Pelodiscus sinensis: one gene and its partners. The protein of the gene in region 3 purifies or fractionates together with the protein of the main gene of each other region. This does not show direct contact. Links are inferred from orthologs where the notes say so. Each region holds a gene or a part of one and is shown on either strand. Other genes may lie near its edges. The genes, in order: ZFYVE16, CUEDC1 and TOM1.

Region 1 (3,747 bases), on a different chromosome or scaffold from region 3:
GCAAAAGCCAGCAGGAAGCTATTTAAAAAGCTGGCAGAGACCAAGGTTGCAATAGGACACAGGAGCGGATATAGGGCAGGGCGAACGGGGCGGCCGCCCAGGACCTCGCGCTTAAAAAAGCCCTGCGCATGCGCCGTGGCGCCACCGCGTATGCGCATGGCGTCACGGCGCATGCGCCGTGGCAAAGGGGGGACCCCGTGGAGTTACGCTGCCTGGGGCCCCGCAAAACAGTCATCTGCCCCTGATAGGACGGTACCTGTAAGAAATGTGAAGTTATTTTCACTGCTGATGGCCAATTTGAATCACCTAGGCTATGTCTACACTCGCGGCTTCTTGTGCGAGTAATATGCAAATGAGGTAAGCGTGGAATATCGCCAAGCCTCATTTGCATACCTAATGAGCCACCACTTTCAGAAGAAGCTCTTGCTCAAGAAGGAGTGTCTACACTACTCCTTGCGCAAAAAAAACATCTTGCGCAATGCCGTTATGCCTATTACTTTTCAGGAAACAGGCGTAATGGCATTGTGCAAGAGAGTTTTTCTTGTGCAAGAAGGGGCAGTGGAGACGCTCCTTGCGCAAGAGTCTCTTCTGAAAGTGGTGGCTCATTAGGTATGCAAATGAGGCTTGGCGATATTCCACGCTTAGCCTCATTTGCATATTACTCGCGCAAGAAGCCGCCAGTGTCGACATAGCCCTAGTGTCTCATTTTTCATATAGTAGAGCACAACTCCTATTGACTTCTCCTGTAGCTGTAAATAGAGAAGAACAGTGAGAATTCGGGGTTTTGGTTTCCACACCAGATTCAGTATACTAGTGTGCTCTAATGTTCACAGATTTTTTGCCTCTCTCTCAGCCAACCCTTCTCCCTGTTTTGTCCCCCCCCCCCTCCCCGCTCCTAAACTCTGGCTAAGGCTCTATTCTAGTCCCTTCATCCAGTCTTTCCTAATCTCCCCTCTTCTCCTCCCCGTTTCCTTGCCCAGGGGCAGGGACCCTTGAAAAAATAGTTATCATCATGCAATTACAGTCTGCATCACTAAACATTCACACATAGGGAACAAAATAAGGGCGTACAGACAATCCTAATTGCGGCAATTTCTAATGTGCTTTGAGTTTGAAACCCGTTCCGACTAGTCTTTTAACATAGACTTTGGTGCATAATTTATACTGAAACTGTTTACTCCGAGTTACAGGAACTGAGGGCTTCTCCTCCTACTAATCTTGCACTGACATTTTGACAGCTGCTGTAGCGAAGCCATGCCCAGTGCTGTGAGGGCCCTCGGAGATCAGTTTCCCTGTGTGTGCCACTAAGCCCATTAATGACATTTTAACTGACCGGGTGTGAGAACAGAGCGGTGACCCGTCTGGAGTCAGCTGCCCCGCAGCAGCAGTACATCTGGAACTGAGGGCTGATTTTGCTAAGGGAGCCCAGTCGCTCAGCTCTGCAGCGCCTCCTGTGCCCGGGCGTGGCTCTGTGGGCGCAGCAGGAGACTCTCGAGGAACTCGACTCACGGGAGCCAAAACTGTCCCCCCCCCCCCATAAAAGGGAAGAGGAGGATTCTGCGCAAGCGCAGAAATGACGTTCCAAGGAACGGTCGTAGCCTCCGCCTGGCCAAGGAGAGCCGGGCTCTGCGCATGCGCGGAGAAACCCGAGCGAGTCCCGTGAAAACGCAAACAAGCGGCGGTGGCTGTCGCTTTCTGCAGGGCCGCCGTCCTGGAGCCAGCGGGGGAGGGGCGCCTGCCTATCTATGCGGTGAGTGAGGCGGCGCAGGGCCCAGGCTCCTGGCGGGGGACCCGGGAGGGGGGGATCGGCCCTTTGTGTTGAGGGGCAGCGAAGAAGCTTCCCTGACCCGGGTCGCGCCGCGTCTTTGGGGCGGGGCCGGGCCTCTCCCCTCCCCTCCCCCCTATTATAGTGGGGAGACGGGAGTTCCGCCCGCCCTGAGGGGCCTGTGGGGCAGGCAGGGCGCGTCCCGGCGGGACGGGGGTGGTGGGGACCGGGTGGGGGAGAGTCAGGGGGCGAGACTCTTCGCAACTTGCTGTGCTTCGCTCGTTGGACTGGCCAACAGCCCCGGGAAAGCTGCCCCAGTGGGTGCGCGCCCCTGGCATTGTGTCCGTGTGTGTGTGGGGGGGTCTGTCTGTGCCGCCTCGCCTCCCTAGCTTGCCCCAGGCCTGGGCTCTCCCTTCCACCTTCGTGCAGGCTTTTGAATGTCCCCAGTGCAGGGAGACCCCTGACTGCTGCGGGATCACAGGATAATGTTTCCTGTTCTTTTTCTTTGTGGCCCCAGTTTCAGCTGGCTTCTCTTTCTTACAGCACTTAGGCTACAGTGGTTCCTAAACTTTTTGGCATCATGCCCCCTTTTTGAGAAATCCTGAGGCCTCCTCCCCCCAAGACAGCAGGAAAACTTAAGCCAAAAAAAAAGAAAAGAACTGACCAGGGCAGCGAAACTTGATGGGGTGGAAGGGCTGGGTTGCCTCGCACCCTCACTGAAATTTCTTTACACGTCCCCCCAAGGGGGCACGCCACCAGTTTGGGAACCCATGATAGACTATAAGCCTCTTTCAAAAAATCTGTGTGTAGTTTACACCCTCTCTTTCGAAAGTCTAGACGCTTTCTTTCGAAAAAGCACAGTTTGCATTCAATAGTGCCTTTTTCCTCATAGAATGAGGTTTACCACGATTGAAAAAACTGCCGCGTTCTTTCAATTTACTTTTGAAAGAATGCAGCTGCAGTCTAGACACAGGTGATTTTTTTTTCACGAAAACCCTGTAGTCTAGACCAGTGTTTCCCAATTTTATTTGGCCATGGAACCCCTTTCAGAATTTCAAGGAACCCCTAGGTTTGTTAAGAAAAAAAAAGGGGGGGGGCGATTCATAAAAATCACATTCCTTCCCCAAGACCCCGCACCCCTTCCTTGAGGCCTCATTCTCTCTGTTCCCCTCCTCTCCATCACTTGCTGTCCCCAGCCCTTATATACTCTCACTAGGTTGAGACAGGAAGTGCAGGCTCTGGGGTGGGAATGAGAGATTTGGGTGTGGGAAGGGGTGAGAATTCTAAGCTGTGGGAGGGAATTTGGATGCAGGAGAAGGGGATGTTGGCCTGGGGAGTGTTGGGCTCAGGTGGAAAGTTGGGGTGCTGAGCAAGCCATGGGCTTGTGGATGTGAGGGTGCAGGAGTTTGGGCTGGATATGTGAGGGGCTCAGGGCAGGAGGCTGTGAGTATGATGAGCTCAGGACACAGATTTGTGATGTGTGAATGGTGCAGGAGTGTTGTGGCAGAAGACTGAGGATGTGGGGGTGCAGGAATTTGGAGATGTAAGAGTCTCAGGACAGGGGGGTTCCAGTGTTATGATAGGCTCAGATTTGGGGTCAAGTGGTGCAGGAGTGTTACGGTACTGCAGTGAGATGGGGGTTTGGCCCCTGTTGGTCAGGCTTCATTTCTAAATAAAATATTGTGTTAATCTCAAAAGTTTTTAGCATTGTCTTTATTTACGAGAGGGGTGAGGAACCAGGAAAGTCAGTCCCGAAAGCCTCTAAGCCTTACTAATGTGGTCCCAACTGTGCTAGTGGGTGCTGGAGCTGGGGAGAGGGTGCTGCTGGGTGTCAGGATGCTGGCTCAGGTGGCGGGGTGCTGGGGTCAGGGACATGGTCCTGCTGGGCACTGAGGTGGCTGGCAGGGTGCTGGCATAAGGAACAGGGTGCTGCTGGGTTCTAGGGGGGATGGCAGGGTGCTGGGGCTGGGGCCAGGGCCAGG
Region 2 (3,747 bases), on a different chromosome or scaffold from region 3:
CCCTCACACTTTGCAAGGAGGAAGGCTGTGCAGTCCTAAATCTCTGAATCCCTCCTTCAGTGGTTAATTTCAGGGCCATGTTTTTGGTTCATTGTGTTTTCCATAAGTAACCACAACACAATATCATGCCATACAAATATTTGCTCTCAACCACTGTTCCTGGTAAGCTGTGCACTTGTGTAGCCGGCCAGGAGAGACTCCAATTCTGCTCAGCTGATTAGAAGAGCACTCACAGCTAGGTTTTTTGTTTCTACAGGTGATGCACATTTGCACATGCCTCAGTGCACATAAAAATGTATTCTGCACATGGCTGGAAAAGATTAGAGGGAACATTGCTGTCAAGTACAATATAGCACCTACTGCTTAGCAACAGGTCCCGGGAGGTAGGCCCACCTGAATGTTCATCAAGACCAGTGATGGGCAATCTGCAGCCCGAGGGTCACTTGCAGCCCATCAGGGTTCTGTGTACAGACCGCAAGCCATTTTGTTTGCCCCTGCTCGCACGCAGGGTTGCCTGATTCTGCTGGTTTCTGGCCGTGTCATTTTTCCCCCCAATGGATTGCACTAAAAGATGACACACAAAGTAAAGCAAGGACACATGATGAGCACGCCGCACTGACGGCGAGAGCTGGGCGCTCCTTCGGCACCCAGCCAAAGCGCTGCTCCGGTTCAGTGGGCGCGCCCCACGAACGCCAGGTACGCGCAGTGGGCGCACCCCACGAAAGCTAGGTACGCGCAGTGGGCGCACCCCATGAACGCCAGGTACGCGCAGTGGGCGCACCTCACGAACGCCAAGTTCGCGCAGTGGGCGCACCCCACGAACGCCAAGTTCGCGCAGTGGGCGCACCCCACGAACGCCAAGTTCGCGCAGTGGGCGCACCCCATGAACGCCAGGTACGCGCAGTGGGCGCACCTCACGAACACCAGGTACGCGCAGTGGGCGCACCTCACGAACACCAAGTTCGCGCAGTGGGCGCACCCCACGAACGCCAGGTACGCGCAGTGGGCGCACCCCACGAAAGCTAGGTACGCGCAGTGGGCGCACCCCATGAACGCCAGGTACGCGCAGTGGGCGCACCTCACGAACGCCAGGTACGCGCAGTGGGCGCGCCCCACGAATGCCAGGTACGCGCAGTGGGCGCGCCCCACTAATGTTAGGTACACGCAGAGGGCATACCCCACGAGTGCCAGGAACGCGCAGTGGGCGCACCCCACGAATGCCAGGAACGCCAGCGCAATTAGCAAAGCCACCCTAACCCAGCAGCCTAGGCAATGTGGGGCCCCCTGAGAGGAAGGCGGGCCACTTCCACAGCCCACTCCTCGGCCATCGCTGGACCCTGGAGAAGTGGTTTTACCTCAGCCGCCTTCATTGCCCTTCTGTGCCAGGGGGACGGTAGCTCCCTGCCCCATGGGCGCGTCCCCGGCTAGGCACCCCCCCCCCCAGTCAGGAAATCCCAGGGCCCAGCCCCACGGCGGGCAGGGCAAGGGGACTCTCCTCTGCACTTCAGGCAGCCGGCCGCTAGGAAGCCGCCGGGCTGGCCTTTCCCTCCCGCGCTGGCGCTCGAGCCCTGGCCGTTTCCGAGGCGCCCGCCCTCCCCCACTCGCTCCTTCTCCCCAACCGCCCCCCCCCCCCGCCCCCGGCCTCCGAGCTGCGCTGGCGGCGTGCGGGGAGCTGGGAGCCCAACGGCCAGGCAGCTCCTCTCGCGCGCCCGCCCGCCCGCCAACGGCTCCCCGCTCCTCCGGCTGCGGGCGGGCTCGGCGCCCGCCTCTGCCCCGACAGCCCGGGGAGCAGCCGCGGCGGCCGGCAGGCGGGTAAGGAAGGCAGGCGCTGCCCGTCGCGGGGAGGGGGGCTGCCTTTGTGCGCCGAGCCAGCCCGCTCCGCAGGGCAGTGCCAAGGCGGAGCCGGCCGGGCACAGGCCCTCTCCGGGCTGGGCTGTGCCCGCCGCCGCGAGCGGCTTTTCTTAGGGGGGGGGGGGTGATTTTCCAGGCTGTCCCCGCCTGGCCAGGGCGGGATGGGAAGGGGGCGGGGGGAGGTTAGGGTGAGGGGCGCGGCTGGGGTGGGGGGGACTTCTTCAGGCGCGGGGGCACCTTTCCCTTCCTGCGGATCATGGGCTCCGTCTCTGGCACCGCCCCCCCTTAGCTGGCTCCATGCGGGAGCGTCCCCCCCCCCCCGCCCGTTGGATCCCGCTGGGACCCCCGCTTGCAGGGGCGCCCCCCGGGAAGCTTCGCCCTTCTGTCTGCCAGCAGGCGGCTGCCCCCTCCCCCCAACCTCTCCACGCCTTCTCTGGAGCCTGACTCAAGGTTAGCCCGGCTTTATTTACAGGTTGTTCTGAAGCGGCGTTTCTCCGTGTCATTGTGTTGGAAATAGATACAGTTATCACAGACCACCACCAAAAAAAAGAAAAGAAAAAAGTTGCATGAGTGGCAGTCCAGTCCGAAAACCTGGCTTTGGTGTTTTGGCTATGGAGGCAGTCTAGTTTTAGAACTCGGGCTGTTGGTTTTCATTGGTGACAGCAGAGGAATGAGACATGTTTTAAGGAGGGGAAGAAGTTGCCGTGTTGTTCATTGTTGCTATGTCTTCGAGGCGTACTCCTGCCCATTTAAGATCAACTGATCAAGTAACCTGTGCGTTTTCTATCACCTTGGACTAGTGCGTTGCTAATGGTTGCTAAAAGTTGCCTTTTAGTAAATACAGACGTTCAGTCATGTGGCAAATGGACTTATTCATATTTTCCACATCTGAAGAGGTGGGTTTTGCCCATGAAAGCTCATGATACTCTATGGCTACGTCTACACTGGCCCCTTTTCCGGAAGGGGCATGTTAATTTCAGAGATCGTAATAGGGAAATCCGCGGGGGATTTAAATATCCCCCGCGGCATTTAAATAAAAATGTCCGCCGCTTTTTTCCGGCTTTTAGAAAAGCCAGAAAAGAGCGTCTACACTGGCCCCGATCCTCTGGAAAAAGCGCCCTTTTCCGGAGGATCTTATTCCTACTTCAAAGTAGGAGGAATAAGATCCTCCGGAAAAGGGCGCTTTTTCTGGAGGATCGGGGCCAGTGTAGATGCTCTTTTCCGGCTTTTCTAAAAGCCGGAAAAAAGCGGCGGACATTTTTATTTAAATGCCGCGGGGGATATTTAAATCCCCCGCGGATTTCCCTATTACGATCTCTGAAATTAACATGCCCCTTCCGGAAAAGGGGCCAATGTAGACGAGCCCTATATGTTTGTTTGTCTCTTCTAAGGTGTCACAGGACCACTGGTTGTTTTATTCAATGTTTTGTTTGCTTTCCAGTTGTACTCTTATGGCCCAAATAGTTTCTAATTGCCTGAATCACCTTAAGCCAATCAGAATGCTGCATTTGTTACTGTACTGCTGTTGCACATTTGTTTGTCCTGACAAAGTAACACACCATGAAACCATATGTTAGGCTATAAATAAAGTAATTGCTGTAGGATAAATGTGTGCCACCCTTACAATATATATGGTCAAATTGCTGTCAAAAGCTTCTGATGAAATACTGTCTTTGCCATGGTGTTGAGTAAGTGATATGAAACCATTATCCTGCAACATAATTGCATGGATGGTCCTATCTCAATGAAATTGTTTTCATTCAATCAGGTCACCATATGGTTGACCTATATATCTGGATTAAAAACCAAAATTTCAGCAACAAAAATGTGATGTATTCAGGGAAAAATACAGTGAAAGTCTTGTAGTAGGTAAATGAAGATAGATTTTTAGTTCCA
Region 3 (3,747 bases):
TTCTGCCCCTGGGATCCTCCCTGCAACTGGATTTGTGTTGCAAGCAAAATAGTACTGGTGGTTCAGGATCAGTATGGTAAAACTGCCTGTTACAGAAAAAACAGGAATAGTACATATTGTCATAGTCTTTAAAAATTCTGTTTTCAGTTGAGAAACTCATGGGTCAGTTTCAGCCTCAAAACTTGTGATAGTTTGTCAACCTGTCAACCCTTGATATTGCAGAATATGACACTTCACTAACCCTCCTTATATTTCAACACAAGTTGACAAGAGAGAAATTTTAAAATACTTAACCACCTACCAAAACACATTTCACGATTCCACGAAAACCACTGCCTTATGTTCTACTTTGAGAGCTATTTAACATATATAGGCAGAAACATACATGCTGCAGGTGGTTGTCCTTTCCTCCTACTGTCACATAAGATGTTAGTTTATCATTTTTTTACATGATTAACTGATAAGCCTGCATTTACCGGTTACTCCAAATGACTACATGCACAACCCCAGTTTGCTGCTCTGTATCAGAGGTAATGTGAGGAGAGGTGGGAACTGGTGCTGGTTCCCTCAGAGCTGCCTCCCACAGAGGCAGCACCAGCACTGGGGGAAGTGCTTATTCATCCTGACAGGAAGTTTTTCCTAATGTCCATCCTAAACCTTGCTGCAATTTAAGTTTCTTGTCCTATAATCAAAGGTTAAGGAGAATAATTTTTCTCCCTTCTTGTAATACCCTTTTAGATACTTGAAAACGGCTATCATGTCCCCGCTTTGTCTTCCCTTTTCTATACTGAATAAACCTAATTATTTGTCTTTTACTGGATCTTGAATTATTTGGGGGCATTGTAATGTGATGAGGTGACCCCGGGTTCATTATTGCCCCATATTATGCCTTCACCAGGAAAATGAAAGCCTTTAGACCCACAGTCTAAAACAGGACTACGTAGCACTTTATAGACTAACAAGATGCTTTATTAGATCAAATCTGAGGAAGTGGGACTGGCCCACAAAAGCTCATCACCTAATAAACCATCTTGTTAGTCTTTAAAGTGCTACATAGTCCTGTTTTTTGTTTCACCTGCAGCAGACTAGCAGGGCTACATCTCTATTACTAGTCTAAAACAGGTGAGAGGAAGAATATCCCTTGTGTAGGAGAGTTCTGCTGTGCTCTAATCCACATGTAGCATGGAGGTGGGGTCAGATGATGCCTAATCTACTCCTTGAGGTGGGGGAGAACAGGGCCATGAGGTCTTTGTGGGTGAGGGAAAAGGGGGGGATGGAGGGTCACGTGTAGGAGCAGATAAAACTCAGGTAGGAGCGGCCAGGTCGATGGGGGGGGGGGGGTAGGTAGGGGACGAGGAGTAAAGAGCTTATTTCACAGTCCCCTGGTAAGCCTGTAGCATATTTGCCTCTGCAGTGACGACATAGTGTGAGGTCACGAGCCTAGCTTTGTGACGTCACAGTGTCCGCTTGTGCTACGGGCCCGCCCCTCCCTCCGCGCCTCCCGCAGACCGGCGCTCTCCGCCGGGCACGCCCTGGAAGGACAGAACGCCGCCTGCTTTCGTCACGCGTAGGCGGGGCGGCCAGGCACACCCCGTCCCGAGCCCGAGGGGGGGTCACGTGACGGGCGCCCGTGTCAGCTGATACCGGGCCGTGCGGCGGCGGCGATGGACTTTCTCCTGGGCAACCCCTTCAGCTCCCCTGTGGGGCAGCGCATCGGTGAGTCCCTCTGCCCCCTTCGCCCCCTCCCCCCGCCAAGTCAGCCCCCTCCTCTGGGGAGCAGCAGCGACAGCAGCTGGGTAGGCGCGCGCGGCTGGGCGGGTCCCACAGCCTCCTCGCAGGATTGACACAGTTCCGGCCAATAGAGAGGCGAGACTGATTTGACTGACGAGCGCCGGCGGCTAATGGGGGCAGGCGGGAAGGCGGGCCACGGGGGGGCCATGGGGCCAGCCAATCCCCGTGCACGGGGGTCTCGGAAGTTTTCTTATTTAAAGGGGCCCGGTGGCCAGAGCCGAGCCCTGTGCGAGGCGGCGGGGGCTGCGGATGGATGTGCCGCGTCACAGCACCGCGAGGCCTCCCCCTGACCCTGGCGACCCTACAATAACAACCCGGACTAGGGTTGCCAGCTCCCCCGGAGCGCCCGAGAGTCTGCAGCAGCTGAAGCCTAGTACTGTGCAGTCACAGATGTTACTTGTCATGTGATGGAACCTCCAGGAATATGTCCAACTACAATGGGCACCCTAGCAGGGACTACAGGCAACTAACTGAGTGTTGCCTGTGCTCCCACGTCAAGTAGAGGTGGCTGTAGCAGCAGCAGAAGGGTTCTTGGGGAACAGCCTGTGGGTGTCAGTTGTAGGGAGGAGAGCAGGTACCAGGGGAACTGTAATCTGCTCCCTGCCCTTGGAGCCACCCATCCCCATCAGTGCAATGACCTGGGTGGTGTCCCTGCTAGTTTGGAGGGGAAGAACACGTACTTATTCTGGCTTCACAGTTAGCTCTTCAGGGCAAGGGTTGTACATGCTTCGCTAAGTTTATGACACTAATAACCACATGTACCTGGCCTCACTGTTCAGGCTAATTCTTACTGAGCTCCTTGCACCCTCCATCTCCTTGTGGAGTTAGTCTTCTCCCTCCCTCTCTCCCCGGCCCCAAGACCCGTGATCAGCATTGTTAGAAATCCATGGAAAGCTTTGGCAAAAATCTGGAATTTTTAACAGGGAGGTTTTGTTTGCATTTTCTAATCTGTTTAACTGAACTCTTTTAATTAGGGCATCTTCCTCATCTGAAGAATGGGCTTATTCAGTGTAAACATGTTGGCTACGTCTAGACTGGAATGATTTTCCGCAAATGCTTTTAACAGAAAAGTTTTTCTGTTAAAAGCATTTGCGGAAAAGAGCGTCTAGATTGGCACGGATGCTTTTCCGCAAAAGCACTTTTTTGCAAGAAAGCCCCAATCGCCATTTGCGCAAGAGGGCTTTTGCCTGAACGGGAGCAGCATAGCATTTCCGCAAGAACACTGACAATCTTACATGAGATCATCAGTGTTCTTGTGGAAATTCAAGCGGCCAGTGTAGACAGCTGGCAAGTTTTTCCGCAAAAGCAGCTGCTTTTGTGGAAAATCTTTCCAGTCTAGACACAGCCGTTATGTTTCAGCAATATATTGATTTCCACTAATTGAATTAATTATTAGCCAGAGTTTTTGAAAGATTGGGGCCTTTTCTATAGCACCATGGTTTTACCCCAGTGCTTTATGAATAGATGAATTATTCCCTGCCCTATCAAGTTTTTAGGAAGGCAAGATATCAAAGGCATAAATGCATCTAAGAACTTCCAGATAAATAGGATCTGATCCAGTATAAGACCTTGCAAATCTAGAAAGAACAGCATTCTTCTTAGTCTTTTGGTTGAGTTTAACTAAAGAAAGGGAGGAAACTAATATACAATAAACTAAAACAACAAGAAATTGGAAAATTGAGAGAAAGTACAAAGAAGGACTGGAGAAACAAAGCTGGAAGGGAAAAATACGTTTTTAAAAGTATTTAACAAAGTTTTAATGTAGAATGATTTTTATAAAGACTTTATCTGCTTGTATGGTGTAATATTTTTTACTTTTTCAGGGAAACCTTGTATCTCTGGGCGGGGGAGTAAGTCTGTCCTTGGTTTCTGGTCCTTTGCTTGTTTACCTATCAGTTCCACAATGTTGCGTCTCAGACTGTAATCTTCTGCAGACTTTCTTTGACAGCCTGACGA

The links.
Region 1: the proteins of TOM1 (region 3) and ZFYVE16 purify together in Homo sapiens (affinity purification with western blotting; 3 studies listed by BioGRID and IntAct, with this or other methods). This does not show direct contact. The link is inferred for Pelodiscus sinensis from reciprocal best matches to the Homo sapiens genes TOM1 and ZFYVE16.
Region 2: the proteins of TOM1 (region 3) and CUEDC1 purify together in Homo sapiens (co-immunoprecipitation; 3 studies listed by BioGRID and IntAct, with this or other methods). This does not show direct contact. The link is inferred for Pelodiscus sinensis from reciprocal best matches to the Homo sapiens genes TOM1 and CUEDC1.

Annotation. Positions count from the first base shown.
Region 1 is NC_134716.1:81,456,836-81,460,582, reverse strand, and holds the start of ZFYVE16 (zinc finger FYVE domain-containing protein 16), read left to right. Parts: upstream 1-1,593; 5' UTR 1,594-1,750; intron 1,751-3,747.
Region 2 is NC_134731.1:9,402,505-9,406,251, forward strand, and holds the start of CUEDC1 (CUE domain-containing protein 1), read left to right. Parts: upstream 1-1,463; 5' UTR 1,464-1,812; intron 1,813-2,179; exon of another isoform or gene 2,180-2,301; intron 2,302-3,747.
Region 3 is NC_134711.1:94,115,261-94,119,007, reverse strand, and holds the start of TOM1 (target of Myb1 membrane trafficking protein), read left to right. Parts: upstream 1-1,507; 5' UTR 1,508-1,664; coding exon 1,665-1,716; intron 1,717-3,747.